Regions from separate parts of the Mus musculus genome. Here all the other regions are reported to be linked to region 1. The links are microRNA targets in miRTarBase. Many come from high-throughput screens and were not tested one by one. Region 1 holds a microRNA gene; each other region holds the end of a gene's coding sequence.

The links. The annotated mature microRNA mmu-miR-377-3p reads AUCACACAAAGGCAACUUUUGU and lies in region 1 at 3,529-3,550, shown strand. An mRNA with a match to its seed (bases 2 to 7 or 8) in the 3' UTR can be bound and repressed. Matches are read on the target gene's strand: a 7mer-m8 pairs with bases 2 to 8, a 7mer-A1 pairs with bases 2 to 7 and ends in A, and an 8mer does both.
Region 2: miRTarBase lists Cbln3 as a target of mmu-miR-377-3p. Seed matches in the 3' UTR shown: 7mer-A1 at 3,092-3,098 and 7mer-m8 at 4,080-4,086.
Region 3: the mRNA of Sema4f is a reported target of mmu-miR-377-3p. Seed matches in the 3' UTR shown: 7mer-m8 at 4,340-4,346 and 7mer-m8 at 3,418-3,424.
Region 4: the mRNA of Scamp1 is a reported target of mmu-miR-377-3p. Seed matches in the 3' UTR shown: 7mer-m8 at 2,814-2,820.

Annotation. Positions count from the first base shown.
Region 1 is chr12:109,737,025-109,743,226 of GRCm38, forward strand. It overlaps Mir377 (microRNA 377), which reads left to right and starts at 3,486; the gene lies at 3,486-3,553. It overlaps Mirg (miRNA containing gene), which reads left to right. Exons shown (of 8, transcript NR_028265.1): 2 at 657-783; 3 at 4,666-4,791; 4 at 5,038-5,266. Mir154 (microRNA 154) reads left to right here and starts at 1,409; the gene lies at 1,409-1,474. Mir496a (microRNA 496a) reads left to right here and starts at 2,095; the gene lies at 2,095-2,173. It also overlaps Mir541 and Mir409.
Region 2 is chr14:55,878,739-55,884,940 of GRCm38, reverse strand. It overlaps Cbln3 (cerebellin 3 precursor protein), which reads left to right and starts at 685. Exons shown (of 3, transcript NM_019820.3): 1 at 685-1,029; 2 at 1,355-1,474; 3 at 1,764-6,021. The coding sequence starts at 754. The coding sequence ends at 1,961. It also overlaps a transcript of Khnyn not described here.
Region 3 is chr6:82,909,036-82,915,237 of GRCm38, forward strand. Sema4f (sema domain, immunoglobulin domain (Ig), TM domain, and short cytoplasmic domain) reads right to left here. Exons shown (of 14, transcript NM_011350.4): 13 at 5,332-5,390; 14 at 2,850-5,069. The coding sequence ends at 4,456. Among named protein-coding and RNA genes, the nearest start is that of Sema4f, 28 kb to the right of the region's middle.
Region 4 is chr13:94,199,646-94,205,847 of GRCm38, reverse strand. It overlaps Scamp1 (secretory carrier membrane protein 1), which reads left to right. Exons shown (of 9, transcript NM_029153.1): 9 at 1,685-4,415. The coding sequence ends at 1,849. Among named protein-coding and RNA genes, the nearest start is that of Scamp1, 83 kb to the left of the region's middle.

The sequences.
Region 1 (6,202 bases):
TAGGTCCCTAGGGCAGGGAGAGAGCGTGTTTTGAGTTAAGTTCTCTCTTCCTTAACACAAGGGTCTTCCTTTCTTTCAGATGTAGCTGTGCATTATACACCGACTAGCTTGAGCTGTGGGTGACTGTCTCCCCAGAGTTTTTACACATGTGTGGCGCTTTCCTTATGCAGTCTTGTTACTGGGTTGAGCCTTTAGCTGAACAGTGGGTTAACCTGGGTAGCATTCCTGTGTTCCTTCTCCTTTGCTGTCTGCTGGTCATAGCCTTAGTGTAGCCTGCTTGATACCTGATGTCTGAACTACAGTCCTTCCTCGTTTGTTTGGTTTTTTTTTTTTTTTTTTTTTGGGTTCTAAGACTTTCCTATTGGGCACTGGTGACTTTGCCAGATGATAACCCAGCCAGTGTTTTCCCATCATTTTTTTTTCTCGATTGTAATTTTCATTTCTTCTTTATTAGAGTTAGTTGTAGCCTTTAAAAGACGTTCTCTGCGGTTCTTTTCTTGACTTAAAAGATCCAAATTGTCTGTGTAGTTCTTTAGTCAGTCTCCGCCCCCTACTGCCACCTTCCCTGCATCCCTCTCTGGCATCCTTTGCATCATGAATTTATTTGATTAAAGGTATCAGTTCCCCTTTCCCACTGTTATTTTCCCCCTTGGCAGGATGCCTAATTGCAATGCCAGCTTCTGGGGTGAACATGGACCCACTGTCATCGGGCAAGGTCTAGGATGGACATGGAGACCCACCATCTGGGAGATTCCAGAGTGGACGTGAACCCACCATCATCAGGCAGGTTTTGGGATGGACATGGGCCCACTGTCGTCAGGTAGCTATGTGAACTTACTGTCAACCAAGCAAGTTTTAGTGTTCGTTTCTTTGTTGTCTCATTTTCAGTGGATCATAAGCTAAAAAGTACAACCTATTATTAGGAAAACACCCTGAAAGTTTGCTCACCCCAAGGGACGAGGCCATGACTTGAGTGTCAGTGCCATTTAGTGCTGACCTTACCTTTATAATGAGTATTGCCAAGTCAGCCTCTCTGTGAACTTTTCAGGAAATCCCTAGAAACAAAGCCTATGTAAGGCGAGGGTCATTGGTGTTTGCCTCAATCTCAGTATGAAGCTAGGAACTTTCCACTCCTATGATGAACACAGGATGAAATCTGTGCATCTAGGACCTCCATCACCAGACCCTTGTAAGGACCCTTAGACACTGTATCCTTGGCAGTGGTGCCAAGACTAGATAACCATGGGTGTCAGGGGTTGGGGAGGAATGGGTTGGACCTGGGGTGCGTGATGCCTTCTCAAGCCCTCTCACAGTCAATGCAGTAACCTGCTGTGTTCACTGTGCTTGGGGGACTTCCTGGAGGAAGCCAGCTTCAGAGAAGAGATGCTGGTACCCACGTGCGGTGCTTGAAGATAGGTTATCCGTGTTGCCTTCGCTTTATTCGTGACGAATCATACACGGTTGACCTATTTTTCAGTACCAAATCCCGCCTTGGAGGAATTTCTGGGGTGGGACTGTGGTGTTAGCGTCTTTCCAGGGTAAGTGAAGGGATGGTTCACCATGGTTGGATCTAGTAAGAGGTATGCTGTCCATGCCCAGTGTATCCCTGGTTCTCTGGTGGACTCAGGGAGGGACATACTTTGGAATGATCTGGAGTATTCTGTAGTCATCCACTTTATTACTTTGACAAATCACATAAAGTCCACCTTCTAAGGTGTAAAATGTGTCCCTCAAACATATTAGGGAAAGGTCAAGGTCAGAACTAGGAATTGCATTCACAGCATCTACCATGATGACTACATCAGCCCCTCTGGCCATGTAGTCTGAGCTCCCTAGAAGAGGCAGTTGAGTTCCCTGGTGGTGTTCCGATAAGAAGCCTTCCCAACTGCTCACAACTGACACATCCATGTGGGCGTGGCAAGCTCCTGTGGCTTCTTCTGGTCAGTGATACTAACCACCACATGCAGGAGACAAGAAGTGACCCCTAGGCCACATGGCATATGTCATATAGCTAGAATATGTAGCCATCTGCCCAACTCTCAGGGACTCCATCCTCAGATGCCTGAGATGTATCAACACAAGCTCTCGAAATCAAGTGTTCGAATGGAGGTTGCCCATGGTGTGTTCATTTTATTTATGATGAGTATTACATGGCCAATCTCCTTTCGGCACTAAAATCTTCCTGGGAGAGCTTCTTCGACTGTGCGGGTTAAGGAAATAAATTGTTCCCTGTACTAAGTGCTGTCTGGGACTTATGTCACCTGGTTGTCAAAGTAAGATTTCCCAGAAATGACACCAACTATTTCGGTGACTCTATCGTTGTTTGGCCATGGCTATCAAGAGCATAGTGCATTGTGTCAAGCACTGTATTCAGATGAGAAAACATCACAGTGTTAGGCATGCTGTAGGGAAGAGCAAATGTCAGTCACCAGTGGGGTGGGGCTAGCTACAAGCCACTCAGTTACTCATTCCTTACCAGTTTCACCAGTCCAGGGAAGATCTCTAAGAAGTAGAACCAGATGTCAGGCTGGTGAATGGGGAGAGGTGGCTCACAGTGACATTTAGTGACATGAGAATGCTGATGTCCTTTCCCTGCTCCAGTGTCCCTTGGGAAGGAGAGAACCCAGCAGCATTCATTACCACCCGATGCTTGCTAATGGTGTGACCTTGAATGAGTCAGCCTGTCACCTGTCTGTGCCTCCGTTTGTCTGTCTGAGAGTGTTAATGGCTGCTTATAAGGTATGTATTCACGCTGAATGTGTGTTCAGTATTTTGAGAGTGCCTGGTTTCCCCCAGAAAGTTGGAAAACCATTGGCTTTTATAATGATAGTTGTTGCATGAATGTCCTTACTCTGTGGATCTCTTCCCACCCTCTAGAACACAGGTTCCTTGAGCTCAGAAACCCCATCTAATGCTCGTAGGTGCACACAGGACGAATGATGCTGAGTGAATGGCAGTTGGACATGTTTTCTTTGTTGAACCCTCTTTGAGGCCTCTCAGAAGCCAGAGAGAATAGAGGACGGTGCAGACACCTTGTACCCTGATGCTGCTGGTTTGTCTGTGCGGTCTCTCAGGATACTGCCTTGGAAAGGGAGTTATCCTCTTTTAGGTCAGCCTTCATTGGTGGGCAGGATGGACCCTACTACACAGAGAGTCATGGTTTCTTCTATGTCAAACCTACCTCAGGACTTCTCTAGGAGAAACACTTTGGGATTCAGACTTGGTGTCCGTGTGCTTCTGGGTGAGTGACCAGTTTCTGGCCAAAGCCTGGATGTCTGTACAAGTCTCTGGCCACCTGTAGGCAGGAGAGAACTCTGCAAGTCAGTCCATTGCTAGTCTGCTTTGCAGTTGGACCTGGGGGCTCATCGGAGGTAATGCCAGCCTCCCTAGAGGGTGGGAGTCAGGGAGCCAGAGCCGAGGGAGGCAGGGCTGCCTGGGGAAGAGGCGCCCTGCTCAACTCTCGGCCTGTGCTGACGTTTGATTCTTGAGCAGAGGTTGCCCTTGGTGAATTCGCTTTATTGATGTTGAATCACACAAAGGCAACTTTTGTTTGAGTATCAAAGCCTGCTTGGGGTGGCATTGGGGACACGTTACAAAGTTCTGGGGTCTCTGCAAATGTCATGTGCTAGAATGGAAGGTGTGGATATGGGGATGGTCAGGAAGGGGTGTGGCTCAGAACGCCACGTGACCAGACATGTAGTCCCAGGAACCAATGGAGAGATGCCAATATCTACTCCCTGACTCTTCTCAGCCTGAATCCTCTTTGTCACACCAGCACCTAGCCCCCCTAGTTGCAGACACACTCGCTGTTCTATCTCTACTCTGAAGATACCTTGACAAAATGAACTCTGTCCTTTGACAGTGTCAAGGACAATGGCAGCCTTCCCTCCCCACCCCCTTCCTCTCCTCAACTCACTGGGTCAGGAGTGCTCACATACCATCTGTTTTTCCCCCCTCCCACCCCACCCCCTCAACACACCTCTGTCTGTTTCTCTTTCGTCCTCATCGCTCACCAAACCTTGTTCTCCATTTTTGGATGGGTTAGGAAATGAATAGAGGCGACCAGCATTTCATCCCGTTTACATTAAATAATAGTGATAAAATAATCACAAAATAACACCACAAACTACCAGAATAGCTTGGAGGAAAATGTGTTCAATTGACTACAAATTGGCAGAAGAATCCAATTTTCTTGACAACATTTGAGCTGCGACATTTGACCTGGGGAAACAGTACTCTGTAGACATGGCAGCCGCAAGGGGCAGCTTCAGTAGTGGCGGATGCTATGAGCAGTAATATTTGTGGTAGATGAACGCACATTGAGGAATCAAATCTTCGTTCAGATTTTTAAATGGGAAAGAATTGATCCTAATGAAAATGATTTGAGGAAATAACAAGGGAAATAAAAGAAATGAAAATGGCCCAACAGCACAGTCAAGGAAGCTAAACAGGGAATTGGATTAGTTTAATGGAATTTACTTTAAAAAAAAAAAAAGGAAAGAAATGCATGTTTTTTTATGAAAATCAATGTGGGTGTGGTGTTTGAGATGGGGAAATCTATGGATATAGACTAGAGCTAGTGGGGTGATAAGAAGGACTGGTCACCATGTGGGTTTTTTTTTTTAATGTGGCTAAACTTTATTTTCCCATCCCAAACCTTTACAGAGAGCTTCATGGAGTATTCAGAAGCTGGCGGGTGTCACCTGGAGGATGTGACTGGGTACCAGTGCCAGAGCACGTGCCCACTGAGCAGTCTTCTTCACTTTCCTCGATCCTCATGAAACATTCCGGGTAAGACACTGGTTCTGGGGAGTCTGCTCTTGCCGAGCAGTTGGTACCTGGAACATTCTAGGGCCTGCCCTTCCTTGGGTTTCCATGTTGCCAGCTCCCAGGGCTAGGCTTAAAGACGTACCCATTGTTGGTGCTGAAGGGCTAGGCCCGTACGGGAGGTCATTTTAGAGTGGATGTATCCAGGGTCTAATATACTATCTGGGGTGTGATGAGCACCAGGTTTCATGGTGGCTCTCTTTCCAAAAGGATCTTTACCTCAAAGGACTCCAGAGGCTACATCATTGTCTTGGAACTGGTCAGTGGCTGGAGCTCTCTCCAGGACAAGTGCTTGGAGGAAGAACCTGGACAAGCTTCCCTCCCCATACTGTTGACTGGATCTTGTAGCTACCGTTAGCCACCATCATCGCCATTGTGTGCCTCTTAGGAGCATTTCCAGGAGGTGATGCCAGCTGGGGAAAGAGCCTCTGTCCCACAGGTCAGTTTCCAGAACACCTACATGAAGCTGCCCGTGGCGTCTTTTCCCCGTATGACACACTGCATGTGACCAGTCTCTTGCTGCCCTGCAGCAAGGCTAGAAGCCTGTGTGAACTCTTGCCAAAATCAGAGAAGGGATTCTGATGTTGGTCACACTCCAAGAGTTTTAAAATGAGTGGCGAACACAGAATCCATACTCTGCTTATGGCCTAAGTCAATGGATCCTGACCCTTACTGGAGAGCCCTCCCTGGCGTGCTCGTGCGGGGCAGCCATACACACTGGCACAAGGGGACCCTGCGGGATCTCCTTCCGCTGTTCTTTCTCTCCTCCCTCCATGTTTATCTTTGAAGCATTACTTGCTTGGTTTATAGGACTGGATGGTCAAGCAGTTCTTGCTATGACATCACCGTGGGGGGAGGGGGCAGGTGACAGGGCGGGGATGCCAGGGTCGTGGGGCTGCAGTGGTTGGGTGGGCCCAAGGAGGAGCATCTCTGGATGATGCAGTCATTGCCTCCTCGCTTCTGGAAGGCATCGTCTCTGGGAGGGTGGTGTGGTATATGCGCAGGGTCTCAGCATCTCCCTATCTCCAGCTTACAAAGGAGAGATAGAGTAAGCAGAGTTCTGCACCCACTTCTGCCCCGAGTCAGCTCCTCGCTACCTGGGTCTCAAGGTTGTCTGGGAAGGCTTTAGATATTCTTGGAAGGTGAAAGGGTGGTAGATTGCACTGGGGAGGTGATGGAATAATTGCTTTCACGTGGTGGAGGGTGGCTCCTCACTGAATGGGGAGTTATAATCTCTGAGGGGCTCCAGGATGGTTCTTCTGGAAACTCAGCCATCGGCCTCGTTCTGAGCATCCGAGCCTCTCCGTGGTACTCGGAGAGAGGTTACCCGAGCAACTTTGCATCTGGAGGACGAATGTTGCTCGGTGAACCCCTT
Region 2 (6,202 bases), not on the chromosome of region 1:
CTCGGCTCCTCCCCCGCTAGGGCCGCACTGGCCAGGGCTCGGGGCAGGGCTGCGCTCCTCCTCCCCGGCTCGGCCTGCTGTCCTGCTGCCGAGCGACCCGCCCTCCACATCCCCTGCGGGGCCTACCGGGTCACAGACACTCACCCCACCCCCAACGCCTCCTGCCAACTCTCACGTTCGCCTCCAGTTCCTGGGGTCCTTGGGAGTTCTGCAGTTGATGGTTCCAAGAGAAGTGACTGGTCCAGAGTCACAAGAGAATCCTGCCCTTGACACAAGCACTTTCACCAAGTAGATAGAGTTGGGGGAGTAGGGGGGGAAGGGGGGGGAGATGAGGACACACACCTTGCCACAATAAGGAAAACCCCATGGAGAAAGACTGAAAAGGAGAAGATGAGAAAGGAATTGAAGAAATTTTGTTTCGTGTGTGTGTGTGTGTGTGTGTGTGTGTGTGTACACACCCTTGTGTGGCTAGAGCCCTCATATCCTCTCTCCATTCCTCTTCTCCCTCCCAGGGCCCAACTGCTGTCACTCCATGCTCTGCCAAGGAGGAGGGATCCGCAGAGACAGCAGTAGTAAGGCCAGGCAGAGCTGTGGGACACAAAAAGATACAGGGAGGGGAGTGCCCGGGCTAGGTGCCAGACTCACAGAGGACAGCAGAGCAGGGCAGGAGTACTGAAGCCTTGAAGCAGAGGGGGGAGAGCCAAGGGGACAGAAGACAGGAAAATCTGTGAGTTACAGAGGCACCTAGCAAGGATGGGGACGGAATGGCACAAACCCAAGCTGTCCTTGGCCCTGGTGCTTCTGACCCTGGAGGCTGGGTGGGCTCAAGAAGGGTCAGAGCCTGTCCTACTGGAGGGGGAGTGCCTGGTGGTCTGTGAGCCAGGCCGACCTACTGCAGGAGGACCTGGGGGTGCAGCCCTGGGAGAGGCACCCCCAGGACGAGTGGCGTTTGCTGCAGTCCGAAGCCATCACCATGAACCAGCAGGAGAAACCGGCAACGGTACCAGTGGTGCCATCTACTTCGACCAGGTAATCCCTCTGCCTCTGTCCGGAAGACATGCAAGGACCTGGACTCTACTGTCCAAGCCCCTTTGCATCCCTCGGACTCCAAGGAAACCATTACCTGCATCTCTTGCACCACCTTCCTCTAAGATGGCCACTGACCGTTGGTTGGCCTTCTTTCATTCATACACACAGCACCGTAGCCCTTCCTCATAGTTTTTGACTCTACACATTCCTGTCACACCCGTTTGCCACCCCTTCTCTCCTCACCCACTGCACAAATGCCAACCCAGTGATGCTCCTGAGCTCCCGGCACCCAGAATCCCTCTCAACACAATCTGCTTCCCCACAGGTACTGGTCAATGAGGGCGAGGGCTTTGATCGGACCTCGGGCTGCTTCGTGGCCCCTGTCCGTGGAGTCTACAGCTTCCGATTCCACGTGGTCAAGGTGTACAACCGCCAAACTGTCCAGGTGACCTAAGTGCCAGTCCACCTCCGGGGGGAAGGGAGGGTCATAGTGGACCGCAGCACATCCCTGGATAGCCCTTCTGTTGGACCTGTATCCCAGGGACCAGGAGCAAGGGAGGAAAGGCTAGCAGGGTATGGCAGATGTACAGAACCCAACACTGGCCACCCCTCAGTGCTCACTGGAGAGCCCACTGACCCTCAAGTTCCCAAAAGAAAACTCTTGGGAGGATGGGGGGCGGGGTGTCCTGAGCTAAGGACTAGGACATAGATGCTAACTGGGCTCCCCTCCCCAGGTGAGTCTGATGCTGAACACATGGCCGGTCATCTCAGCCTTTGCAAATGACCCTGATGTGACCCGAGAGGCAGCCACAAGCTCTGTGCTGCTTCCCCTGGACCCGGGGGACCGTGTGTCCCTGCGCCTGCGTCGGGGGAATCTTCTGGGTGGCTGGAAGTATTCGAGCTTCTCAGGCTTCCTCATCTTCCCACTCTGAGGACCCAAGCCTTTAAACGGAGATGTCTAGCATCTTTCTGCCCTTCCCTGCCCCAGAAACAAAGTATCTTTGGAGCAAGAGAAAGGCCCCCTCCAGGCTGCCTACGGCCCACCTCCTTGCATGAGATCATAGTTAAACACCCAAGGCTAGGAGCAGAGCAGAGCTACGGAACCTCTAGACAAAACGCCTCACTCAGGTCGCCCTCCCAGTCTCCTGCTGCCCCTCCTGCCCCTCCGCAGCTCCAGTTTAAGGCAGGGTTTGCTAAGAGGGAAGCTTGCACTTCTTCACAGACTCCACTCCTCCTGTTCTCCACCCCAGCTTCCTGCTCAGCGCTATTTGGTGACAGGTGGCGCAGGTAAGCTTGACAGGCTCCCACAGGGGCCCAGATGGACCAGCCTCATAGTACCTGCGGGCTCCATCCTGTGAGGAATGCCAGCAATGAGAGCTCTCGGCCAGCACCCTGTGAACAGGGCTGACAGCTCAACCACAAAAAAGCAGTGTGGGGAAGGCCACAGAGCATCCGTAGCTGGAGAGACAGGATGGGGCCATGTGCCTACCCTGAACATGTAAACATTCTGCAGGTAAACTGGGACAGTCAGAAGGCAGGAATCCTGCCGTCCATCTGTGCCAGGTCCCAATGGACTCTGGCCCTCATTGCCTGACCAGAGGCTTGGGTGTGTGTGTGTGTGTGTTTGCTCTGGCTAATAGGGGAAACTAGAGCAGGTATACAGACCTGGAGGCAGAGTCAAAGGTCACGAATGAGTCATCAGTAACCACATGTCCTCTCCCTCAGCCACCTCCTAGAACTGCCCCACCTTGGAAATCTGAATTTCAGTCACTCCCTACTCTTGATCGACATGTAGTTCCTCCAGCTGTCTCCCAGCTAATTTCCCTGTAGTCTGCTCCCCCCCCCAAACGCATCGTTCTTCCTCTACTTCTACTACTGTCTTACTCTTCTTTTAAGGTCTCCTGTTACCTGGGAGTCCATGACTCATCTCCCCCAACTAGTATCCCACCAACATCAGAAACTCTTTTTACCCAGTTGTCCCAATGGTCCAGCATGAACGGACCTACCTAGAACAACTGGGGAGCTGCGGCTGTTAAAACAGTGACTTGTCCTGTTCGTGAGGGTGTGAAACAGGGACTGCAGGACTACAGCATGCTGAAGAGAAATAAATTCAAAGCTGGGCATAGCAGTCAACGTTTTTAAAGTGCTATAATATAAAGTACTCGTGCTAAATAAATACCAGGGCAAGTTTGTGGTTTTTTGTTTTGGTTTGGTTTTTGGTTTTTTGAGACAGGGTTTCTCTGTATAGCCCTGGCTGTCCTGGAACTCACTTTGTAGACCAAGCTGGCCTCGAACTCAGAAATCCGCCTGCCTCTGCCTCCTGAGTGCTGGGATTAAAGGCGTGTGCCACCACACCCGGCAAGTTTATGGTTTTAAAATAAAAATCTAGGTGTTCATTCAGGAGACAGAGGCAGGTGGATCTCTGTGAGTTTCAGGCAAGCCATAGTAAAACCTGTCCAAAAGAAAGACAGAGAGACAGAGACAGAACAAAGAAAGAAATAAGGATGGAGGTGTCACTCAGAGGCAGACGCTAATACGCATGAAGCACTGGGTTTGAACCCCAGCACTGGGGTAGGCGGGTAGGGAGTAGACAAGAGGGGGAGGGGCAGCACTTTCCTTCAGCATTTGTCCTTACTTTGTGGCCAGGAAGAATAGTTTAAACAAGATAAGATAATATTTCTGTCTCACATGGAAGAGTCTGCAGCTGGGGAGTTCAGGATAAACAGCTGCTTAGAACCACAGAGCCCAGTCTTCCCTTTTGGGATGCCTCTCTGGCATGCCGCCTCATGGCCCAAGATGGCTTCGTGCAGGTCAGCATTACATCCCAGCAGCGCTGGAAAAAGGGAGAGAAGAAAGAACACAGCTCCTTCCTTGAAAGGTTTTCCGACCGCTGACAGCTGCCTACACACATTTCTGATTGCATCTCATCGCCAGAATGGAGTCACACTTGGCCACACCAAGCCAGGACAGGCAAGGAAACAATCTCACAATCTTACCTTTTTGTCATATTTTCCATGTGCATGCACCTGGGACGTGTGTGTGTGTGTGTGTGTGTGAGAGAGAGAGAGAGAGAGAGAGAGAGGGGGGACAACTTTGGGTGTTGGACCCCACCTCCCACTATGTTTGAGACAGGGACTCTAATTTTTCATTGCGTACACCAGGCTAGCTGGAACCTTCTGGAATTCTGCCTTCTCCTTAAAGTACAGGATTACAAATGCATGGACTATGGCTGGCTGGAATATGAACTCAGGCCAACAGGTGTGCACAGCAAGTGTTCTAACCACTGGACCACCTCCAAAGCCCGTAGACTTTATTCCAGGCCATCACATCCAAAATCAGGATCTTATAGTAAGGAAGAAGAGTAATTGGACATTGGAAGTTTTTCAGAATACAATAAACTAGATCAGCCCGTTAACACCGGGAGGTACACGATGCTCTTTATTTATTTATTGCACCTTCTATATGTCAACAGTCTGGAAAAGCGTGACTATTCTCTGATAAAGTTTCACAACGCTGAAAATAAGGTGGCAGGTGGTACCCTTCCTTCCCAGAAGGAAAGAGAGAAGAAGACACTTCCAAATTCATTTAGTGCTCAATCCCTTAGAGCTGTAGTGCTGATATCCTCAGGAGCTTCTGTTTTCCAGCTAAAACACACACAGCACAGCCCCGCCCTCTGACTGGCTCCAGCCTAAACCTGCCACATCTTTCTGATGTCCATAGGAAAAGTTCCTGTAGGTTGAAAATTCGATGCTTAGACTGGACCCACCGAGAATATACAGAGCAATCTTTCTATTTTAAGGTCCCCACCAGCAGTGTATTTGCAAAGTCCCCATGCCATGTAAACGCATATTGAGATATCTTGGTGATTAGAGTATAGACTCTGAGATATCTGCATAGCACAGACTTAAAATCTCAAGATGATGTTTTGAGAAAACACTTGGCACAATTCACCCACTGAGATACTCAAGACAAAGAAGATCAACATAGGCTTTGGTTTTGGTTTGTTTTACTTTTTAGTTTATTTTTATTTTATAGTGTTTTGCCTGTGCACCACATACATGCAGTTCCCTTGGAGGCCAGAGGGGGTGCCTCAGATCCCTTGAGACTGAACTGCAGTGGCAGTGAGCCACCTTATGGATGCTGAGAGTGTAAGCTGGATCCTCTACAAGAGCAGCCAGAGCTCTTATCCATTACTCCATCTCTCCAGCTCGCTCCTCCACTCACACACACTCTGGTTTTAATCATTTTAGAAGGTAAATCAGTTCCTACCCAAACAAGAATTCATTGGTTGATAGTCCAAGACTTCCTTGCCATGAAGAAAATGCCCCTCTTTTCTTTTGACCCAGAAACAGATGTCTTGTCTTTAGGCCACATAGCCGTGTGGCCCTCTTTTTTACATTTGAAGACCAAATCCAAACTTGGTCTGAGTGAGATAGTATCCACTTCATAACTACAAATTCATTTGTATGATAGTGAGAGTGGAGGTTTAAAATTGGACAATGGATGTCCCATACCTTTAATCCCAGCCCTCGGGAGACAGAGGCAGGTGGTTATCTGTGAGTTCAAGGCTAGCCTGCTCTGTAGAGTGAGTTCCAGGATAGCCAGGGCTTGTCTTGACACAAAATAAAACTGAGCAATCCAGCCTAGTGTGATGGTACACACCTGTAAACTTGGCACTTAAAAGACAGAAGCAGGAAGATCTGGAGTTGAAGGCTAGCCTGGGCTACATAAACTCTGTCACACATACACACACAAAACTTGTATAATGCTGTAGTGATGTGTTTGCTTTATCAAAATGCTCAAAGCTTTTAAAAGTGCTGACCTATTAGACTTGCAATTCCATTTAAATGTTCAGGAGAATTTAATTGAATTTGTAATCGGTGTTTAAGTGATTTGACTTGTAAAATTTGTTGTAAAAATTGTTGATTTGTTGGCTATGTGCTTTTGTGTTCCATTTTGCTTAAGTAGGTTTCTATTAAATACTGAAGAAAGCCTCGAAGGCACTGGGTAGTCCTTTGTAGGGACCAGAGCTCCTTAAGGCTTGGAAAGCCTTAAAAATAGAATTCACTGTCAACTTTAACTCTGCCCGCTTCCTGGCACCTAATTTACACATAGGAAAAGGGCCACCTAGTGCAGACTGGGACTAGAGCCCCTCCCCCCACGGCTCCCACAC
Region 3 (6,202 bases), not on the chromosome of region 1:
GCGTGCAGTTTACTCTCCCAAGTTTGTGCTTGTGGTTGGGGGTGTGAGTTCCTAGCTTTCTGCTCCAGTCACTGCCTGCTGCCATGTCACCACGCCCGCCAGGCTTCCAGGCCACGGTGGAATTTTATCCCTCTGGAACCGAAAGCCAAAACCAAGGATTTTCCCGTAAGTTGCTTTTGGTTGTTTGATGTTTTACCACAGCAACAGAAAAGCAACTAAGTCAGTCAGCCTGCGAGACAGAGGATTCCCAGCAGCCATGACTCAGCGCTGTGGAACCGGGGCAGCTGGAGCCTTGTGAGTTTCTGCAGGAGTGAGTACACACTAGTTCTTGCCATGACTCAGCGAGCCAGGTCAGCGATGGTCACACAGACTCACTCAGTTAATATTGTTGACGTCTCTGTAGGGCACGTCTTAGGCACTGTGCATCTAGGATTATGCTAAACGGCTATGGTGCGGGACAATATGAAGTACAGACTTAGTAAGAAGGAAAATAACTCTAACAGAATAAACAAGCCAAAAAGAGGAAATGCACATTAATGATAAATGCTATGCTGAGAAGGATGTGTAGGTAGTGTTGTAGGTTAAATATGAAATGGCTCCCACAGGCTCGCACTTGTTTGCCACTTGGTGGTGCTGTTTGCAAAGGTTATAGAACGTTTAGGTTTGGAGCCTTGTTGGAGGAAGTTAATCACTGGGGACCAGGCCTCTGTCTCTCTGTTTCTCTCTCTGCCTGTCTCTGTCTGTCTGTCTCTGCCTGTCTCTGTTTCTCTGTCTCTCTCTGTGTGTATTTGTATCTGTCTGTCTGTCTGTCTGTCTGTCTGTCTGTCTGTCTGTCTGTCTCTCTTTCTCTCCCCTCTCTGTGAGGGTGAAACATGGTTGCTCTGCTTCCTGACTGCCAGGCCATCCTCATTTTCCTGCCGCCATACTTCCTCACCTTAATGGACTGTGTTCCCAGTAAGCTCCCCTCCCCTGCTAAGTTGCTTTTGGTCAGGGTCTTTTATCCCAGCAACAGACAAGCACGCATCTATACTGTGTGATCAGGGTGGTCCTCATTCTGGAAGTGATACTTAAAATAAAGCCTAAATAGCCAGAAGAAGCCAGGCTTTCCACCAATAATGAGCTTAATTGGCATATGGTAGGAAAAGCCTTATCGTGTCCACAATGAGTGCCCACCTTGAGTGAGAGGGAAGAAAAAAATAAAAATAAATAAAAAATAAAAAGTAATATATATGTAAAAAAAAAAAAAACTTAAGTAAGAACAACAGTTCTAAATTAGAAGGAAGGGTTGGAATTTCTCCTGGGTGTCATAAGAAGCCATTAGAAAACTTTAACTTGAAAGGAACATATTTAGCATTAATTTTTGAAAGATCACTGTCTACATCTAAATACCTTTAGTAAACTACAACTGGTGTTTTGTTTGTTTGTTCTGTTTTTGTCTTTTTTATCCAACTTCCTTATGTCCATTCTTCTGATAATGTAATCTTTCCCTCCCTGGACACGTATGTGACTTAGGCTTGGCCAATCACAGTATCCCATTTCCTTGGACACACTCATTGGTGCAATGGAGTCATGTGATATGAGCAGAGCTGTCCTTGTGATTCTTGGTTTACGCTGAAAAAGTAGTTTTGGCTTCTAAGATCTGTGGCTGAAAGGATGTGGAAGCAGCCATATTTCTTTTTCTCTTTAACATTCATTTATTTTGTGTATGTGTGCATGTATGTGCATGCACATGTGTGCCAAAGCACACATGTAGAGGTCAGAGGACAACTTGAGTCAGTTCTCCTGCCACGTGGGTTCTGGAGATCAAAGCCAGCAGCACGTGCCTTTGCTCATGAAGTCATCTCAGCAGCAGCCACCTTTTCTGCTTCTTTGAGTGGGGCCATTTACAGCAAGAAAGAAAGAAATCAGGCAAGACAAGCAAAGATGACAGACAGGCAGACAGACAGACTCCCTCTAACCCTGAATCCTAATTCCAGGGGCTGGGACCTTGACTCCTAAAGTCCTTTGTGCAGTCCTGAGGGTATCTTATTCCTGACTTCTCTACTAAGTGAGCCATGAATTTCTCCATTTACTGAACTGTTAGCCTTCTTAAAGGCATGCCAGTGTATACCTGTAATCCCAAGACTTTGGGGAACTGAGGCAGGAGAATCACAAATTCTGGGCTAGTCTGGGCTACATAGTAAGTTCAAGACCAGTCTGAACTATGTAGTAAGACCCTGTCTTGAAAAAAAAAATCCTTACTTCAGAATCTCCTTCTTAGCTGGAGTGTGTGTATGTGTGCATGTGTTTTCAATCTCTTTTTTCCTGGAGTAAAATCCACGTCCATCTTGGAAGTGGAATAGCACAAAGACTTAGTACATGTGTCCCTTCCATAGAGAAGCAAAGATGACATCAGTGGCTCCTGGTTTAGCAGAAGGAAACTCTGGCTATCAACATCACTCAACATGTATAAGACTAGAGGGCTGGAAAGATGACTCAGCAACTAAGGCACCTGCTACTCTTTCAGAAGGTCTGAGTTCAGTTTCCAAAACACACATCAAGCAACTCACAACTGCCTCTAACTTTAGCTTCGGGGATCCATTGCCCTCTTTTGGCCTCTTGAGGTAGCGGCACTCACGTATACATACGTTAACATACACATATACACATAATTTTTTAAAAAAATAAATCGCAGATTTGAGTAAAGCCTAAATATGGGTGGTTAAGACCCATCCTGAGATGATCGAAGATCAGATGTTGGTGAAGGCTTGTCCACCTTCCACTGCATGGGGTGCACAGTGAGTGCCTGCCATGGTGATCACGTGGTTCGGCTATGATAAAGCAACAGCTACAATAACCACGCCCGCTGCTCTGGGTAATGCTTTATTGTTCATACGTTTCCTCGTTTGATCCTTGCAGCAACCCTGAGGTAGGTATATCCCCACTTTACAGATGAATAACCAATGTCCCTAGGTTAGACTACGTGCCAAAGATCCTACTCAAAGCCACTGGTAACTCCAAACCCAAGGGGACTCTTGAGTAATTCACAGGCTGCTGTCAAGGAAAGTAGAACAGAAACTTCAACTGGAAAGGGCTGCATCCTCACCGGGGTTCGAGGTCCCTCACCAGGGATGGACGAGGCACATTCACAGGCCAAGAGCAGGACGGAGCAGATGCAGCGCACACAGGAATAACGAAGCAAGAAAGGAGGCGATGGTGTCTTCAAGCACGTGCAGAGCCTAGCTTCACTAGCTTCCGAGGAGGACTGGAGAGAGGTGGGATCTCCAGCAGCAGTGTGTCCAGGGACTGGCCTCAGGCAGCAGGCCAGGGAGGAACTGCCTCACAGCAACACCTCCTCCATTTATGTGGCCCAAGTGTGGTGACTATGGACCATGGTCCTTTAACCTCATTAAGGCCTTGAGAATCTGATGAAAGCCATCACACACACACACACACACACACACACACACACACACACACGCACGCACGCACACATGCCACACATGGACAGACATTTCTTTGCATACAATTTCAGGGAGTCCTGCTAGGGGACTCCTGCTTTAGGGCAAGGGTGAAAGTCACTGAGGCAAATCTTCTTGAACCTGCTTGTAATTTCCTACACACTTTTCTGGGTTCCTTTTGTCATCCCTCAATAGCTAGAATGTTGTGAAGTTCATTTTAAATGGAAGCCAAGGAAAGAGGGCTCAGCCTCCACTCCAGCCAGGGAAAAAGCAGCGGTGGCACGGCAGTGGTGGCAGCCAGAGGAGAAAGATGAGGAGAAGGACGGGGCCACGTGTCCTGCTGCCCTTCCCACCAGAAGGTCACTTTGGGAACTTTGCTCAAAGTTGAAGAAGCGCTGTGGGGTGATGGGGTCGTGTGGTTTCCCTCACTGGCTACCGAGGGTAAAGTTGTCCCCCGTTCCAACCTTCCTCTCCGACCCCCCAAAAGCACCTAGGCACCGGCCCTGTCATCCACACACACCTGGACAGGTCTTCGAGGCACACCAGTGTATAGACACACACTCTTCAAGGGACAAAGGGAAACTGAGTTGGGAGAGATCTCAAGGCAGTCCGGGGATCATGCGCTCCCCAGAGTCAGCAAACTGGAAAATCATCATACAGGCACCACACGGATGCAGGGCACACGCGCTCCAACCACCCCGCAGTGCTCCCTCTTTCCGGGGGCCCACCATAAGCAAATCAGAGCCTGTGTCCTTGCTCCACCCCACAAGCTGATGATGGGCCCAAGACAAGAGGCCATAGCAGAGGGCTACAGGGTTGATCTCTCATGAGAATCAGGAATCAGGCAAAGGTCTGGCCCTCAGCTCATCCAGGTCCAGAGGACAGACACTGACGTGTGATCACACAGACTCCAAGAGAATGGAGCAGCCATGATCGTCTCCCAGGTTCAGTGACCCTGGTCTTCGTAGCCGCTAGTTCCAGAGATTGCTCATGGCTGGCAGTCATTTTCCTGGCTTTAGATAGACGTCTCATCGCACGTGGCCAGAGGAGCCCCAGTGAGCCGGATGTGGGCTGGGCTCGGGCAAGAATCCAGCAGGAAGGGTGGAGGGAAGCCACCAAAACCACTGCCCCGCTTACCCAGGGCCAGGGGCAGCCGTTCATCTTCAGGTGAAGGAGAGGGAGGGTCTTGGCTATAGCTTGTGGTCCCAGAAGGTGGAGCCCCCAGATCTAAGCCCACCTTGTCTCTAGCTAGAAGCTCCCTCTGTCGCCGCCGCTGCTGACGGCGACCAATCAGGAGGAGAGTGAGAGATGCTGCTAGAACACCCAGGAAAAAGCCAACCAGCCCAGCCCCCACAACGGTGTGGGCCCGGTTTGCGGGCCCCCTCTGGCTGCCCCACACCAAGCTATAAGCAGCCACCACACGGGCGGCTCCACCCTCCTGACACTCGCAAGCATAAGCCCCCATGGCCCCTGGGGTCACCACCACCTCTAGCCCATCCCTTCGTGGGGTGAGCGAAGTCACTCCACTGGGCTGGTGCCACACACAGGATGCCCAGGCAGAACTGGGGGAGCACGGCAGGACCACGTGGCCCACCGTAGCCACTGGAACTTCAAACACTACCGGATGTTCTGTGGAGAGAAGGCAAAGACACAAAAGACATGAAGCTATAGGCAGGAAGTAGGATGGGGGCATATGGAGAGATGTCATATATAAGATATGTAGGGACATTGCCAAAAGGGATTCCCAAAAATGGAAAGGCCCTGGGTCCTGGGTCCTGGGTCCTGGACTGCCATGTCTTCATGGGATCAAGTCTTTTGAATGAGACAAAAAAGATCAACTCTCTAGCCCCTTTCTATACATTCCACCCGCATTTCTCTGAGCCATACAAACCTCCAGGTTCTTTTGGACACAAAGAAGAGACATCTGCTGACTCTATGTCTTGAACCATCCTACAGAGAAGAGAATATCTGGTAAACCTAGTGTTCCAATGTGCTTGCACCTTCCTCAGACCCTCACAGTACCATGGTACTCAGCCCCACGGTACTCCCACTACCACAGTACTTGGTTACCACAGTACTCAGTTATCACAGTACTTGGTTGCCACAGTATTCAGTTAACAAAGTACTCAGTTAACACAGTACTAAGTTATCACAGTACTCAGTTATCATAGTACTTGGTTACCACAGTACTCAGTTATCACAGTACTTGGTTGCCACAGTATTCAGTTAACAAAGTACTCAGTTAACACAGTACTAAGTTATCACAGTACTCAGTTATCATAGTATTTGGTTATTACAGTACTTGGTTACCACAGTACTCAGTTATCATAGTACTTGGTTGTCACAGTATTCAGTTAACAAAGTACTCAGTTAACACAGTACTCAGTTATCATAGTATTTGGTTATCACAGTACTTGGTTACCACAGTACTTAGTTATCACAGTACTTGGTTGTCACAGTATTCAGTTAACAAAGTACTCAGTTAACACAGTACTAAGTTATCACAGTACTCAGTTATCATAGTATTTGGTTACCACAGTACTCAGTTAACACAGTACTTAGTTATCACAGTACTCGGTTATCACAGTCCTGACTCCAGAACCCATCATGTTAGAAATCACTCCTGGAGTTAGTCAGCATTCACCCCTCCACCAAATCTTTCCTTAATGTACCTCAAGGCTTTTCCCTGTCAAGTATCCACATATTCCTAGCTGACAATCTGTTGGAAACGTGCTTGGTGGGTATCCCCTAAGAGGCAGGGA
Region 4 (6,202 bases), not on the chromosome of region 1:
ATAAAGTCACAGTATTTATCAGCATTGTGTCTATTCTCTATTTTAGTGCATACTCTGTTAATAATTAGATTTAACTAATTTAAATCTGAGATGCAAAATTAGGTTACTGGTTGACTCTCTCACGTATCCACTGTTAGCTGGTACTGTCTCACTCTTACCTGTGAAGTTAAGGATGTCAGATGAGATGATGTTTTTATATGGTATGCTGAGATATGACACATGGCAATATAAACTAAATTATAATTTGAAGCAACCATCAATCCTCTTGTCTTTTCTACCTCTGATGTAAACTGAGATCCGAGTACTGATTCTTCAACACTGACTTAAAAATTAATAATAAATTATCAAAAATAAACACACAGACCCCCTTGTAGGGAGTATGTAGCTCTAACGTGTCACCACTAGGGGTCAGTCTCTTCATGGGCGGTTCGTGCCCTCAGGAAGGTCTGCATAGTCCCAGCTCTGGACTAGAGGCGTTGCCAGGCGGTTCTTCTCTTCTCTCTCTCTCTCTCTCTCTCTCTCTCTCTCTCTCTCTCTCTCTCTCTCTCTCTTTCTCTCTCTCTCTCCTCTCCTCTCCTCTCCCCTCCCCCCCTCTCTCTCACACACACACACACCCCTCTAGACATGCTGTGCAGTCTTGGTTTGTTGTGATGATGTAAATGTACTTTTGAGGATTCAGTCTCATTCTGAGATCTCACAGCTGAGATAACCCAGGTTACCCGAGTTAGACCAGGTTATCGTTGGGTTGGACGCTCATTGTCCCTTGGTTTCTGCCATGGTATTGTTGTTTAAGCCTGCGCTGCCCAACTGTTGAAAGAATTTATATCTCCTGAGCTTCTTCATAGACAGAAATCCTTAGCTTTCACAAATAGGTTTGATTTTCTATCAGTTGTTTCTTATTGTGTTTGTTCTGTTTCTACAGTGAACTATCAAAGTACTGGATAGTGTTTCAGGGCAAAAGTGGTAGATGTTCTAAAGGAGCCAGTTAGTAAGACAGGAATGAGCCACAGAGAGCTGTCAGGAGCTCTGAACATCTCCCTTTGAGTAATCAATCACTAAGAGTTGGGACAGCATAACATTGAAGTGAGAAGAAGGCAGTACAGGTTGGATTCCCTGAAGAACCTGGGTTCCATTATGTCTTCTATGGGATTTGGGAACTTGCCCATAAATATTCATGCCCACATTAGTACACTAGTTACTAATGGCTTTTTGTATTTCAAAAGAAGTTTTGAAGTTAGTTCATTTTAAGAACCAAGATAATCTAGGTGTTTTAACTGTTTGAAGACTTCCTGAAATGTCTGGTCTTCAGCTGTAGTTTTCATTTGTAAGGAGTGTGGGGTTGGAAGCGTATGATTCAGAATAGTGCTGAGGGAGTCCCGCTAACCAGTTAAGTTGGTGTCCGACACCATTGCGTGGGGAGGTACTCCAGTGCATAGACTAACCTGGTCTGCTTCGACCGAACAGGGCAGCTACTGTCTTTGAAGGCGCTGTGTCGCCGTTAATCCCACTATGGCCATCTCCTGTGTTTATTTTGGACCTAGGGTAAAAAGCTGATTTCATGGGTTTTCTTTTCTGTTCCCCCCACCTCCCCTCTGACCTCTGCCTGGTCCTCGCACACGGCAGGGTGGTTTGAGCAAATGTGTGGATCGCATCTCACCATCTCGCCTTGGTTCTGCCTCCTCAGGTGCATGGACTGTACCGCACAACAGGTGCTAGTTTTGAGAAGGCCCAGCAAGAGTTTGCAACGGGAGTGATGTCCAATAAAACTGTTCAGACAGCGGCTGCAAACGCCGCCTCAACCGCAGCAACCAGCGCGGCGCAGAACGCCTTCAAGGGTAACCAGATGTAGCGAGCCTGGAAGCAGTTCTCTGTTTCCTTAGGACTGTATCTTTTTCTCCAGTTACTGTATTCTACAGATATTTTTTGTTGGAAACACACAATACACAAAAGCATGGGTATTTCCAATCCACATGTGCATGGTCTAAAAACCAGAGAAACTTCCTTGTCTTATTACTTTGCCTAATAGTTTCTTAATATTTCCATGCTCTGCACAGAAGAAAACTATCACCTGCTAAATAAATATTCTCCATATTTTTGGGGGATGGTGTTCCTCAGATTATTTCAGTGGTGACACACTGAAATGAGTATGTGACTTAAGATTTAAAAAGCGCTCGATAGTAACCACAGAAGTTCTTCCAGGAGTCAGTAGAGATTCAGACTATACATTGGACATGACACCATGTTTCTTTCTTTTCCCCCCTCTATTAATAACGAAGGAACAAGGTCAGCAAAAGTTTGGGTGTTTTTAAATTGGCTTGCTTTATATGAGGTTCAGTCACCAGAGAAGAGCCTGTGTGCTCTGTAGTAGATAATGTATATTTTACCTTCCTTTATTTTATTTTTAGACTAGTTGATTATTTTGATAACAATCTCTGATCTTGCATGGGCACCACGTCTCTTAAGTGAAATGAATTAGTATTTTGGGTTCTGTACTGCTTATAGTTGTAGGATCTGGGGCTCTTTATAGAATCAGAAATGATTTTCTGTAATAGTTTCTTTTAAGTAAAAATTTACTGGAGTATAAAGACTTTAATATAATGTGCAGTGCATTATCCAAAGAGAGGGTAGTGAATTGATGCAATAGAATATAGTGATAATTTCTTTTCCCTCTTAATTTTTAGTATTCATATAGTAAAGTTTTACTGTATGAAAACTTTGATATATTCTTCTGTCTTATCTTTTTAATTGAACTAGGATTTGTGTTTGGCAGCTGTGTGTGTGTGTGTGTGTGTGTGTGTTTGTTTTTGTGTGTGTGTGTGAGAGAGAGAGAGAGAGAGAGATTGATTTTGACACAGGTATTAAGGCTAGCCTAACCCTTGAATAAAAAGAACACACAGTATTTAAGGGATTTTTCTTTTAGCCTCTCACTTTTAGTTACATTAAAAATAAAAGACCCTTGTGATTCTAATATGCTTGATTTCTTAATGTACCTGTCTTTTACTTTTAAGACAGACTAAATCCATGTGAAACATTGCACCAAGCAATGGAGAGAAAGCTCAAGTAATATATTCATTATTGGTAACATCCAATTTACATTGTTATGGTGCAGCACAAACTGATGTGGGTTGAGACTTTTAATCATTTTTAATGCTGATTAGCTGTCTCAAGAACATTTGTAAGGCAGACTGTTGTAGTTTGGAAGTCTCACTAGTTTAGATTGCAAAATGATAGATAGGCTGCAACTTACCCAAGTTGACTTTAAACAAAGATGGGCTGTCAAAGACAGGATATCCTTTAAAAATGAGCTGAAGTGAGTGGCTGAGCCACTGTACCCTGTCCCCAAGGCTGCAGTCGGGGACTCTGTGCAGAGCTGGGGTGCAGTTCCTTGAGGTCTGTGGTATTGGATTATACATCTGCCCATGCAGGGCCATGCTAGATTTGCTTGGGAATTTACTAAGTACAATAGTCCAAAAATGTTTCTTTGATTGAGGAAAAGGTAGAATTCAGAGTATGACTTTGGAGTTGTGTTTTGAGTCCCCATGAGTAGGATTCCCCTTCGTTCTCACCTGCTCATGTGTGGCTGCTGAGCGACTGTGCTTCATCCAGTGTGGTTTGATGGACACTGAGGTCACTAAGGGTGTAAGAGTTCACAGAAACACCAGTACTTATATTCTAAATCCAGGCTTATTCTTCTCTGATGTACAAATAAGAGACACATCAGAGATTCACAAAATGCTAATAGTTTTTTATTTTCAAAATTGGGAATGTTCCCTGTCCATTATGTGGAGGTCCCCAGAGGTGGTATTATTAAATGGAAAAGAATAGTTATAACTCACATTATGTTTTTGCGTATGAACAAGGAAAATGCTGTTTTCAATCCAATTGTTTGGATTCATACACGTTTGAAAGAGATTATGTTGTTTGAAAACACAAAGGAGCTTTACAGCCATGGTGGTGTCTGTGGCTGGGTCAGGTGGGAGCGGCTCGAAGCCCTTACCTGCTGTCCTCTCAGCAGCAGTCTGTCAGCAGTGCACTGTGATTTGGTGAAAGCCTGTTGACGTCTTCTATTCAATCCCAATGTTACTGCAGCCATGAGACGAGCTGCACGAGGACAGGCATCCATGTCACGTCTTAGTTGGCGATGTTAAATGGTGACTGTTTTATTTAAAACTCGGGTCTGATCACTGGAAACGATTGCTTGGTGATTTGTGATTTGGGGCTCGGTTCATTGCTCTAGGGATGTTTGTGTATTGTGTAGGTGCGTGTACTACTGCGCTGCCCCTGTGGTATGTCACGGTTCTGTGTAAACGCCCTCCATGTGGCCCTCTCATGTTGCATGTTTTCAGTGGTTTGGAAGTTTTGTATATTTATTGTATTAATGCAGAGTGTCATAAAATAAAATAATGTTTACTGGATGTTTGTTTGTATAATTTTAAATACTGTATTAGCAGTTGAGGCACAAATTATACTTGTAGCTTTAATACAGATACTTATTTGACTTTTATTAAAACCAATCTTTGTACTGTTTTATCACATGCTAAATATAGTATAAAAGAGTTAGTGTAAAACCCTCAGCAATACAATCCAACAGCTTTCCCATTGCATTAGACCTTGATAGGTGCTTGACAGTGAGCCCTACACATCAAATGCTGGGACTCTTGTGAGGTAGGCAAGATTACCTACAAGTTCATTACATTTTTGGCTTAGGATTTTCTTCATGCCAGCATCGTACTGGTAACTAAACCCATGCGATTTCCTGCGCCAGCTTCCGCTGCTGCTGTACACACAGAGGGGTGTTCTGTTGTCTACTGGATTTCTTACCTGGTGACTAACAGTGATGAAAAGTTTAACGTCAAGTCATGTTCACAGCGGATCTTATTTTGAGAAATACATGTTGAATTGAAATAAGAAACAGTATTTTCCATTTTTTTCATTTTAAAAAGTGAGTTTGGATTTTGACACGTAGGGACATCCTGTGATCTTGTGGATGCGGTTTATACTGAGGGATGTGAGCTGTCTGACAGTGGTCCCTGCAGGTCTGTTGGCAGCACTGCTGTGTGTCACTGTGCCCATCCTGACACGCTGATGCTGACGGCTGACTCGTAGTCACATCTCTGCTTATGTTCCACAGTTCATCACATCTGGGACACACTGTTTCTCTGTTCCCTTCCATTTTCCCTTAAGGAGTAATCCCTAAAGGGGTCTGTGATTCCATGTTAGTAAGCCATTTAGAGACGAGGGGCCGGTTAGTTTAAAATAACTCAGAATGGCTAAAGTTACTCTAGACCTTACTTAGATAGGTTTTTCAAGCATCATATTATAAATTTATTTATAGTAGAACAATACAGTATAAAATATTTGAGCTGTTTTTCATTTTTAAAATAATTTTTAGGTAAACATAAATTTTTTTACATATATTGTTTATTAGACTAGTAAGTTGCACTCCAATGATTAGGAAAATGAAATAGTTATGTAAGAAGATTTGGGTATATTTTATAAAACAATATACGTGTTGCATTGATGGGTTTTTAAAACCTCATTTCAGAATCTTTCCCAGACTCGGGAGCCAGAGGCCCTCTGTGCCCCCACCCCACACACACACACACACACACACACACACACACACACACACACACACACACACACACACACGTCACCACTGACTCCGCCTACTGCTAAGACAGGATGATTCACTAATCCAAAGACTCCTGTAAACACTTTCTCCCCTTCCCCGTGGATTCTGCATAGACCACGTAGCTTTGTGATTTGCGTAGGACAAAGTCTCCATCCTCAGCATCCTCCTTAGCATGGTTGATGTTTTTGGAGGGAAAGTGGGAGCTGCCAGGGGGTGATTGATGCAAGGAGTGCCAGATTGTGTTCCTCCCGGCTCGTCTTTCCTTTTTAGCTCAGTGTTTCTGGGCTTAATGTGACTTCCTGGTATAGTGAAACATTCCTCATGCTAAAACCTATGTCGTCCCTCCACCCTGGAGAATTAGAAAAGAGCTCATTTTCTTATAGTGCTAGGATCATGCATTTCTATAAGGTCATTATAATATTACCTTCTCTTCACTAAAACAGTGCCCTCTGTACACACACACACACACACATCCTACCATGAAGATTTTATTTTTGAGTCCTAGTTATTTCAATACTTGCATTCCTCTTTGTTATTTATTTTTTAAGGGCAGTGATTCTCAAAATA